Caenorhabditis elegans: one gene and its partner. The protein of the gene in region 1 purifies or fractionates together with the protein of each later gene. This does not show direct contact. Each region holds a gene or a part of one and is shown on either strand. Other genes may lie near its edges.

Region 1 (4,420 bases):
TATTTACACAATGGGGTCAAAAAGAGTATGCCCAGATGCAAATAATTCTGTAAAGTGTAAGTTTTAGGCCTGGGCTGAATATTAAATCTGAAAATAATACTTTTCAGCAAAAAAAGCAAAAACCCTGGATTTTCTCGCTCATCCTCGACGGAAGATTGCAATTCAGTTTTTCTATTTGGGCTGGGAGCATGATGGGCTTGTTCAACAACCGCATACACAAAATACGGTGGAAAATGTAAGAATTCTAAAATACTTTATTTAAATAAATTAAAAATGTTTCAGCATATCATGCAGGCACTAATAAAAACTCATTTAATTGAGGACTGGACGAAATGTGATTTTTCGCGTTGTGGACGGACCGATAAAGGAGTTTCCGCATTTAAACAAACTGCTGCAATGGTTGTTAGGTTTAAAATTTTTTTACTGAACTCGTTCTCATTTCAATTTTCAGATCTCTGTGTCCCGGTGACTCAGGAGTGTTTTGGTCAGATTCTACGCAAGAGCATCAAAAAGTGGACTATAAAGCTAGTGGAGAAGAGCTTCCCTATGTAAAAATGCTCAATGGAGTTCTTCCGAAAACCATCAGAGTCTTCGCCTGGGCTCCTGTCGCGCAAACGTTCAATGCCAGATTCGATTGTAATAGAAGAACATATAAATATTCTTTTGCTAAAGCTGACCTTAACTTAGAGGTTGGTGTATTTTCATTATATTTTTATCTTCAAATTATTATTTATTTAGAAAATGCGTCAGGGCGCGGAGCTATTGGTCGGTGAGCACGATTTTTCGAATTTCTGCCAAATCGATATGAACGAGAAAAGACTGCTGCAGTCTTATGTTAGAAAAGTCTATGAAGTCAAGGTAGAACAAGTATCGACTCATCCAGAAAATGGTATTGTTTATTTATTCAGAGAGTTTAGTTTTGACAAGTAAAACTTTAGATATGTATTCAATGGTGGAGCTCACTGTATCTGGAAGTGGTTTCCTTTGGCATATGATTCGATACATAGTCACGATCCTTCAAGAAATTGGAAGAGAAAATGAACAACCATCATTAATCTCACAGCTTCTTGACCTGAAAAAATATCCGAGCCGGCCGCAGTACACCTTAGCCTCGGACACTCCTCTATGCTTATTCGATTGTGGATATAAATCTGAAGATGTTGAATGGAAAGTTCATGACTATACACTGAAAAGTACAGTGACCGGACTACAAAAAACCTGGGCGACGTATCAGGCGAGAAGTCGAATGATGGAAAATATGCTCGGAGAACTGACTGGAATGGCTGAATTCAGTTCAGGAGATGCCAATAAAGGACTTCACGAATTTGTACAAGATCGTCCGATACCTTCAAATTACATAAGGTTTGAGAATAGGAAAATGTGTGAAAGCCTGGAGAGCAAGAAAGAGAAAATGGCAGAAAAGAAGAAAAATGGAGAAGAATCTTCGGATAAACTATGAGAGTTTAATTGTTTTTTAAGTTATTAATACGGTTTTGTTGTTGATTTTTTTGTTTTTAAAAATATATGTTTCTGTTTTTTGATCAATTTTTTCCTTTTTGTTTGATTTATTGGTTTCTGAAATCCAAATTTATTTCTGAAAATTGTAAGAAGTTGTCTTTATAATCGAATTTCCATTTCCAGCTAGACAGAAATGTCTATAATCAACGACGAAAATGGAAGAGGCTATAAAGTACATCTTTGCAAGACGAATATTGCACAGAACAACAATAAATTTTACGATATGGAATTGTTGGATGAGGGAGGTGATTTCATTGTGAAGCTTATCAATGGACGTATTGGATATCGTGGTGTCACACAATTAAAAGATTTCGATGACCTCGACAGAGCCAAGAAGTTCTTCGAAAGCAAATTCTACGAGAAAACTCATCTTCATTGGGAAGAAAGAGACGATGAACCGGTTCCCAATAAATATGCAGTCGTTGAGTTGGCTACTAACGCAAGACAGACTGAAAAAGAAGTTAAAAAGGAGGAACCGGAACCTGAGCCGAAAGTTGATGAGAAAAATACACGTGGAAGGAAGAAAAGAGGAATTGTTAAAGAAAAGAAAGAAATCAAGAAAGAAGAGGAACCAGTTGAAGAAGTTAATGAAAAGCTGAAGGAATTGATGAAATGCATCTGCGACGAAGATGTTCATCTGGGACTCTTGAAACAACTGAAATTTAACGAAGCTTTTGGAAGACCAATTGGTGAGTTTTAAAAAATCGTATTAAAAAATTAGAGAAAAATTCAGATTGCCTCTCACTTGCCCAACTCACCACTGGATATGAAATTTTGAGTAAGATTGAGGAATCGATTGGAGGAAAATCAGGTATTTTATGAAATTTTGTAAATTTGAAGTTTTAAGTTGAAAAATCTAAATTTAGGCCATTATCTTCCCTGAAAAATGGAAATTCTTTTAGCTCGAAGATCTACTCGTGGCCGGCCACGAGTAGCTGACCGTGTTCTTGCTGTTAAATCCGATGGTCCATCTCTTCACGACATCAACAAATATTATTCTCTCATCCCTCATTCATTTGGTTTCTGTGTTCCTCCAAAAATTGATTCTCATGCTAAAATTCAAGCTGAACGAGAGCTTCTGGATGCACTGAAAGGATCAATTGAAGCATCACTGGAACTGAAGGATTTGAAAAAGACAGCATCGTCGAAGGATATTTATCAAAGACTTTATGAGCGCCTCCCGTGCCATTTGGAGCCAGTTTCGGAAGAAATTGCAGGAAAAATTGGAGACTGCTTGGCTATGCGTGGACCCACTCATTGTTACAAGCTTTCACTCATTGATGCATTCGAGTTAAAGGATCCAAATGAAATTCCAACTGAAGCTCCAGTTGAAGTTCAGGAAGTTCCGAAGAAGAGAGGACGAAAGAGCACAAAGACCGCTGCTCCAACTGTTCCACCACCAACTACAAAACGCCTTCTTTGGCACGGTACTCGTGTGACAAATGTCTTCTCAATCCTCATGAATGGACTTCAGTTCCCAGTTGGAGATCGCTGTGGTCTGATGTTCGGAAATGGAGTTTATTTCGCAAATGTTCCAACTAAATCCGCGAATTACTGTTGCCCAGAGGCTTCAAAGAGAGTTTTCATGCTTCTTTGCGAGGTGAGAAATCCACTGAAAATTTCACAATTTTCAATTTTTTCTATTTCAGGTTGAAACTGCGAACCCATTAGTTCTCTACGAGTCAGAAATTGACGCGGATGAGAAAATGGAAAAAGCGAAAAAGACGTCGGTTTATGCAGCTGGAAAGCACACTCCAAGAGACACTGTTGAAATGTAAATTCTGATTTTTTTCAAAAAATTCTTATCCATGAAATTTTCAGCAATGGAATCCCGGCATTCAAGTCAAATCTTGAGACAATCGAAGAAGAAACTCGTCTTCTCTACGATGAATATGTGATGTTCAACAAGGAACACTTCAAAATAAAATATGTTGTCGAAGTGAAAGTGGATCGTCTTACCGCTAAGGAAATGATGGCTTAAATGCTAATTTCTCATGTAATCTCTCACATTTTATCTGTTTCTACCTCTCCATTTAATTTTCTGATCTGAATTTGTCAAGCTTTTGTAACTTTTTTTAAACCTGTTAATCCAATGATACTCCTCATTTTTTTAAAATCACATTCCTGGAATTTGTTTTTGCTCAAAATCTCATCTTTTTCGGTTTCACTTCATTCATTTTCTGCTCATATCAAAAAACAAATGTATTTTTGAAGCAATTTAAATTTTTCTCTAAAATTCTGAAGGTGTTGCTAATCCTTTTTATATTTTTTGAAGCTGATTTTCACAAGCTTAATCAAAACGATTTTCAGAAAATGTCCAGAAGAAAATTGAGAGCAGTGGAATACGATCGTGACTATATTAATTTCGATGGTAGTATTTCAGAAATTGTTCTACAATAATTAACCAAATTCCAGACGATAATGAGATTCGCCGTCTAATCGTCACTGTCGAAGAAGCCCATCTGAAGTGTCGTGATCAAAATTGGTCTGCTCAGATGCTTGACGAGCAGGATGTAGCTAAATGGACTGTGGAGCTTGAAAAATATTTTACCGAGTTTGGTGCACCGTCTGGATGCTCCAGAGCGGCGGCGATTGACTATGTCTTGAACGCTGCTGTTCAAAAGATTTATGAACAGAAAGGTTTGCAAAATTAGGTGATACGTTTAAATACACGATATCTGTATTTCCAGGCGGTGACACTGAACTCTGCTCGAGTCGGCTCAGAGAACAAGCTGAAAAAGTGCTCGAAGCACATCGAGATTCCCAAAATCCACTTAACCGACTTGATTGTGAGTCATAAATTCCTTTTTAAAAAATAAAATTTAATTATTCTCATTCTTAGATTCTTCACCAAATTTTGCTGAAAATGCACGTGCTCTGTGCTCAATTCTCGGCATTTCTG
Region 2 (6,205 bases), on another chromosome or scaffold:
TACAATATCTCAGAATTCTGATAATCCAAGTATGTCCCCGGCACCGGAACTGCAAATTCCTACCGTAACCCGTCAATCGGATGGTACTAAGATCCATGAAATTTCGGGCCACAAGTTCAAAGCCGTCGGACTTGCTCAGCCGACGTTTTGCTCATTTTGCTCCAAATTCATATATGGTGTTGGAAAACAGGGTTACAAGTGTCTAGGTGAGTTAGTTGAAGGGTACAAAAAAAATTTTGCCACCTCATGGGCTCGAACCCCGGTGGTGTGCTTGGTAGTTTTTGGAAAAACCCACTGCGCCATTCGGGCATTTTTTTTGAAAACTTGTAAAAATGATCATAATAAGAGAAACACTAATTTCAATATATAATTTCTAATTTCGATGTAACAGTTTTGGATTTTAAACAATTTTACAACTTTCACGAGTTTTGAAAGTCTATTTTCAACGATTTCTTAAAACTTTTACGCTCGGACATATAGAAATTTGAATTCCACGTGTCTGAAATACCCAAAAATATTTTAGAAATTCGAAAAAAAAAATATTTGACCACAGGTCGGACTCGAACCCTGGTCGTAAGATTTGTTGTTCTCGAAAATCCCACTGCGCCATTCGGGCACTTTTTCCTTAAAACCTGTAAAATCGTTTGTTCATTTACAAGCTGGTCTTTATATGTCTAAACACTGCGTACAAAAATATTTGACCACATGGCGGGCTTGAACCCCGGACTTGTGCGCGATAGTTCTGGAAAATCCCACTGAGCCATTGGTGCATTTTCTCAAAAATTAGGCAAAAGCTAGATTTTAAGCACGGAACCTGATTTCTAGTGAATATTAGTTCATATTTCATTTTCCAGGCTGTGAGACAGTCGTTCATAAGCGGTGCCATGCCCTCATCACCGCCCGCTGCACCTTCGGACCATCTTCCCGAGCTCCGGTTCCTGCTGAAACTACAAATCTGAAAACTCGTCGTAGCCGATCTGCTTCGGAAGAACCTCCATCAAATACTCATCACTTTAACAAGCATTTCTTCACTCGCCCGACATTTTGTGATCACTGTGGAAGTATGCTCTATGGGCTCACGAAGCAAGGCGTTCAGTGCACGGATTGTCATGCAAATGTTCATTTTCGATGCCAGGAAAAGGTTTTGAGGAATTGTGGAATTCAGTGTCAATAAATATTGAAAAAATTGAGAAAAAAAATAAAGAAAAATGAAGAAAATTGGAGAAAGTTAAATTTGATAATCAGTCATAAACTCATATTGTTTTCCGGAATAAAGTTATTATAGTTACAATTGAGGCTCATAAACATCATAACAAAAATATTTGTCACTGTGCGGGTTTGAACCACGGACCTCTGATTGGAAGACATTAAAAATCCCACTGCGCCAATCGGACACTTTCCCGAAAGTTCGATTAAAATGACTTTTGCAGCTTGAAATTTGTTAATCACAGCTTGCAAAAAATAAATACCCTTGTGCGGACTCGAACCCCAGCCGTTTGATTGGAAGACGTTGAAAATCCCACTGCGCCAATCGGACACTTTCCCGAAAGTTCGATTAAAATGACTTTTGCAGCTATAAACTTGTTAATCACAGCTTGCAAAAAATAAATACCCCTGTGCGGACTCGAACCACTGACATCTGATTGAAAGACACTAAAAATCCCACTGCGTCATTAGGACATTTTCCTGAAAATTCGCTAAAAATGAATTTCCCAACTCGAACCTCAATTTCTAAAGCTTGCAAAAAATAAATACCCCTGTGTGGACTCGAACCCCGGACCTCTGATTGATAGACATGGAAAATCCCACTGTGCCATTCGGACATTTTCCTAAAAATTCGATAAAAATCACTTTTGCAGCTATAAACTTGTAAATCACAGCTTGCAAAAAATAAATACCCCTGTGCGGACTCGAACCCCGGACGTTTGATTGGAATAAATTCAGAATCCCACTGCTCCATTCGGAAATTTTCTCGAAAATTCGATTAAAACGTTTTCTTTCGTTATTTTAAAGTTTTTTCAGTGTAAAAATAAACTTTTCACACTCAATTATGTCATACATACCATATAAAAGTTAAAATATTCGTTTTCAGTGTAGTTTTAGTCTGAAAACCCCCACCAAATTTGCATTTTAAATCGTCGTCCGTTGACGTCTGTTCTATGTGTTCATTTCATACTTTTTTGTCAATTCCATGTAAAAAATGACCGTAACTTCTGAAAAAGACGGGTTAAAGAGTATTTTGAGTCAGAAGTATACGGTGGAGCGGAAAGATACCGTGCAGCATGTGCTCGAAGGGCCCGGTTTGAGGTTTGTTGGTTTTAATGAAAACATTTAATTAATTTTTGGGAAAATAAGAAAAACCAGGGAAAAGTGTATAAATTTTCAAAAACTTGAATAATTTCAAAAATATTTTCAAAAAAAAATTCCAAAAAAAAAAAATTTCAAAAAATTTTTTTTTTTTAATTCGAAAAATTCCAAAATTGTTTAATTTCCGATTTCCAGCCGCAACCAAAGCAATGCCAGTGTCCTAACCCTCCCAGGATCCCGAAACACCAGCTCCAACCACTTACCGGCTCAACGGAGCACCTCCGTGGATGAAGTGGCTAGGCATCGGGTCACTTATGAGATGGATGCTGGAAAATCTGAAAAATCTGAAAACCAGAATCCAATCTCTCAATATTATCAGAAAAATCATTATACTGTAACAGGAAATCAGGAAACTTACCAAAAACTTCCCAGGAACATTTCGGCGAACAGATTTCAAGTGGATAAAGCTTCAATTAGTCAGAAAAGTGCTCCGCGAGCCAGTGAGCCAATGGAAATGCCAATGTTACCTCAGGAAAGGCGTAAGTCAGTTTCAAAAAAAAACTACAATTTCCTAAAAGCTATCAAGATGTTTATACGACAAATTAAAAGTTTAGCAGAAAATGTTGGCGGAAAATTTAAATTTTTGAGCAAGAAGTTCAAGTTTTATAAAGATGATTCTTTTAAATTTTAAACTTCACTAGATGATTGGGCGGAAAATTCACATTTTTTCGAAAAAATTTGGCGGAACATCGAATTTTTAATAAGAAAACTTCGGCGAGAAATTCAAAATTTCTCAGAGATTTTTTTTTTCAAAAAATGTATTTTACATTCACATTTTCTCAAATAATTCAGCAGGAACGGCAAGACTTTTCAGAATTTTTAAAAAATAATTTCAAGTTTTCCTGAAAAGTTTTGGCGGGAAATTCAAATTTTCTTTAAAATTTTGACGAGAATTTCAAATGTTCCCAGAAAAATTTAAAGAATTTTCAATTTTTTTAAAAACTAGATTTCGCCCTCACCGACTAAAATTTTTTTCCAGAATTCGACAAATCCTTCTACTGGTTCGCAATGCACCGAAAAAAGTTCGGGCTCCGCTACATAGCTTTGCTGGTTTTGGCGTTGATCTACACACTTTTAGGGGCGACGGTGTTTTATCTGATAGAGGGTTCGAATGAGAAATCGAGACTGCATGTTCGGGAGCAAAACCTAGATAAGTTGTTGGATGAGCTAGCAACTGTGCTCTCAGAAGCCGTCAATGACCCGGAGCAAAGTTCTGAGCATCAGAGGATGAAGGAGTTTATAAAAGTATGGTGGTTTTGAGAAAGCTTGCCGGGATTGTCATTTCAGGAATCCTACATTTCCCTGCAAAAACACGAGGAGCAATACAAATGGAGCACATACTATCGTCTAGAGCACCCTGACAATCTCAAATGGACATTTTCAAGCGCATTTTTCTTCAGTATGAATGTTTACACAACTACCGGTTATGGTACCTGATCCAATTTTCTGTAACTTCAGCCCAATTAATTCCAAGGTTCCAGGTTCAATCTCAGCTCAAACCTTCAGCGGTCAGCTTTTCACAATGATCTACGCATTTTGTTTTGTACCGGTGACACTGGTGATCTTAAGGGATCTAGGCCAGATGTTCTTGGTGAATTTCACAAAATTGTACGCGCACGGGTTGACAGCGGTGAGGAGGATTCGTGGAAAGCGAGAAGTCGATGAGGATGAGATTATACAGCTGCCCATCAAGTTTTGTATGACTATTCTGATAGGTTAGCGGAAAGACCTCTGAAGCTTCGAAGATCTTAGAAGTAGCTCCTGTAGCGTCAAAATGCTCAGAGCTAGCATGTACCCGACTTTGTTTAAGATACCTGAGCTTGACTAGGCTATCCATAGTTTGTTAGACATTCTAACCTCGTCGAAACTTCCTAGAGTCAGCCAGGCAAGCCTAGGCTACCTAGGCTCTCTAACTGTCCTTGAAGACGAGTCTTACATGGTTCAGGCCATCATTTAGCCCGCGGTCTCCAACCTTACCCATCCTCGGTTCCAACTTTCCAGCCTACCTCCTCCTCTGCACCACGTTCGTGTACCTCTACGACGCCGTTATGGGCCCGGAATGGGACGACGGCCTACCGTACTTCACCGCATTCTACTTCTCTTTCATCTCTCTCACAACTATTGGTCTAGGCGATGTGATGCCAAATAATGTTCCGGTAAGCTTTTTGTACCTTTTGTGTTGCTTAATTTCAAAATTTCAGTACGCCCCGCCGGTCTCGATGATATTTTTCATCGGCATGGCAGTCACAAAAGTTGTGAATCGAGCAACATTTATTGCAGTGGAAAATGGGGTTTTTGGCCTGATGACCTTGGCGGAAACCAAGATTAGCATGCTCTTGACGGAACGGAAACCTGGTGTAAAAACTGTCAGATCAACATCATCAGGGTCTTCAGCAGAGTCCGTGGATTCAAAAGAGCCACGTGGATTTGATGGGGACTCGGATAGTGGATCGGATGATGGGGTAAGTCAAGCAGAAGATCAGAGAACATATTATTGCATAATTTGGAACTATAGTCACTCTGAAAAGTAAAAGAATCAAGTGAGAAAAAGTGGGTAAAACTGATAACGTTGGAAGCGTTATTTAAAGTCTGAACATGAGCTTGAGAATAAGCCTCAGCTTAAGTTTAGGCCAGAGTCTAAGCCTAAGCTTAAGCCAAAGCCTAAGCATAAGCCTGAGCCTAAGCTTAATTTCTCGAGTTTCTAGTACCTAAGGATAATCGGCCAACAGGAACCCCCTCAAAAATAATAAAAAAACCGGAAAATCCAAAGCCTAAATAGCGTCAGTAGCGAGCCAACGCTCGCCACTGACGCCAAGCCTGAGCCTAAGCCTAAGAGTAAGATTAAGCCTGAGCCTAAGCCTAAGCCTAAGCCTAAGATTAACCAAAGCCTAAGCCTAGACCTAACCCTAAGCCGAAGCCTAAGCCTAAGCCAAAGCCAAAGCCAAAGCCTAGTTCTAAGCCTGAGCCTAAGCCTAAGCCTGAGCATGAGCCTAAGCTTCAGACTAAGCCTAAGCCTGAACCTAAGCCTAAGCATATGCCTAAGCCTCATACTTTCAGGTAATCAACCGCCGCCGAAACGAGATGATGAACACCTTCACCGTCCGATCAATTGCCACATTCATGCGTTCCAACCATGACGTCTATGGTGGAGGATTCGGAAGAGTTCAACTAAGAAGAGGAGACCTTATGAGCTCTAATGCTTTACATACTGTACCTTGGGTCAGACCCTTACCATAATAAATTTTTCAAACCTTTTCTTTTTCGACCATCAAAGATCCAAGATTGTTCTGGCGTCATTCCAGGGAAAAATGAAAATGAAATGAAAAAAGCGAACTGGGAACAAAAATAATATGTCCACTTGTGGAAATTAACTTTCTCTTTAGTGTCCTCAAGTACAAATATACAAATATGTTGCATTTCTGGACAATTACAGACCATCGGCCACGTAATTTAGCCGACGAAAAAAGTGAAATTATTGCATAGGGGGATGAAACCGTAGCGGAAACCAAAAAGGCGGCGCCTGAAGAAGAGAAGCATAATTATAGTGAAACTTAGTGTTAATTGCCTTCTCTACATTGCCTTGTTTCACATCATTTTCTCCTTCCCCTCATCATCATTCATCAGTCATGGGCATCCGTATCACTTTTCCAGATGTTCGTTGATTCTGGTTTTTTATTTATTATGTGAATTTGTTCTGATCTTTTCTTTTTTTGCGGATTTCCTTATCAGAAACTTTTCGGCTTTGAAGATTAGAATATGCTTTTTTATGTTTCAAAATATCATTACTTATATATTTAAAAAAATCATTCGTTTGCCTCCTTTGTAGTTTGTAGCCTAT

What was found.
Region 2: the proteins of parp-2 (region 1) and twk-36 fractionate together in Caenorhabditis elegans (co-fractionation; one large-scale study listed by BioGRID). This does not show direct contact.

Annotation. Positions count from the first base shown.
Region 1 is NC_003280.10:9,591,396-9,595,815, forward strand, and holds parp-2 (Poly [ADP-ribose] polymerase 2), read left to right. Parts: upstream 1-1,641; 5' UTR 1,642-1,651; coding exon 1,652-2,207; intron 2,208-2,251; coding exon 2,252-2,329; intron 2,330-2,420; coding exon 2,421-3,118; intron 3,119-3,167; coding exon 3,168-3,292; intron 3,293-3,339; coding exon 3,340-3,499; 3' UTR 3,500-3,733; downstream 3,734-4,420. Other genes in the region: putative tRNA pseudouridine synthase tag-124, read left to right, coding at 11-56, 108-235, 283-407, 452-689, 739-889, 939-1,459; E02H1.5 (uncharacterized protein), read left to right, coding at 3,832-3,889, 3,934-4,158, 4,209-4,307, 4,361-4,420. UniProt on the Caenorhabditis elegans protein: Poly[ADP-ribose] polymerase modifies various nuclear proteins by poly(ADP-ribosyl)ation, a post-translational modification synthesized after DNA damage that appears as an obligatory step in a detection/signaling pathway leading to the reparation of DNA strand breaks and programmed cell death.
Region 2 is NC_003283.11:17,743,050-17,749,254, reverse strand, and holds twk-36 (Potassium channel domain-containing protein), read left to right. Parts: upstream 1-2,195; 5' UTR 2,196-2,200; coding exon 2,201-2,307; intron 2,308-2,502; coding exon 2,503-2,846; intron 2,847-3,346; coding exon 3,347-3,612; intron 3,613-3,654; coding exon 3,655-3,796; intron 3,797-3,848; coding exon 3,849-4,082; intron 4,083-4,368; coding exon 4,369-4,523; intron 4,524-4,568; coding exon 4,569-4,829; intron 4,830-5,424; coding exon 5,425-5,604; downstream 5,605-6,205. Other genes in the region: R12G8.1 (Phorbol-ester/DAG-type domain-containing protein), read left to right, coding at 32-206, 855-1,174.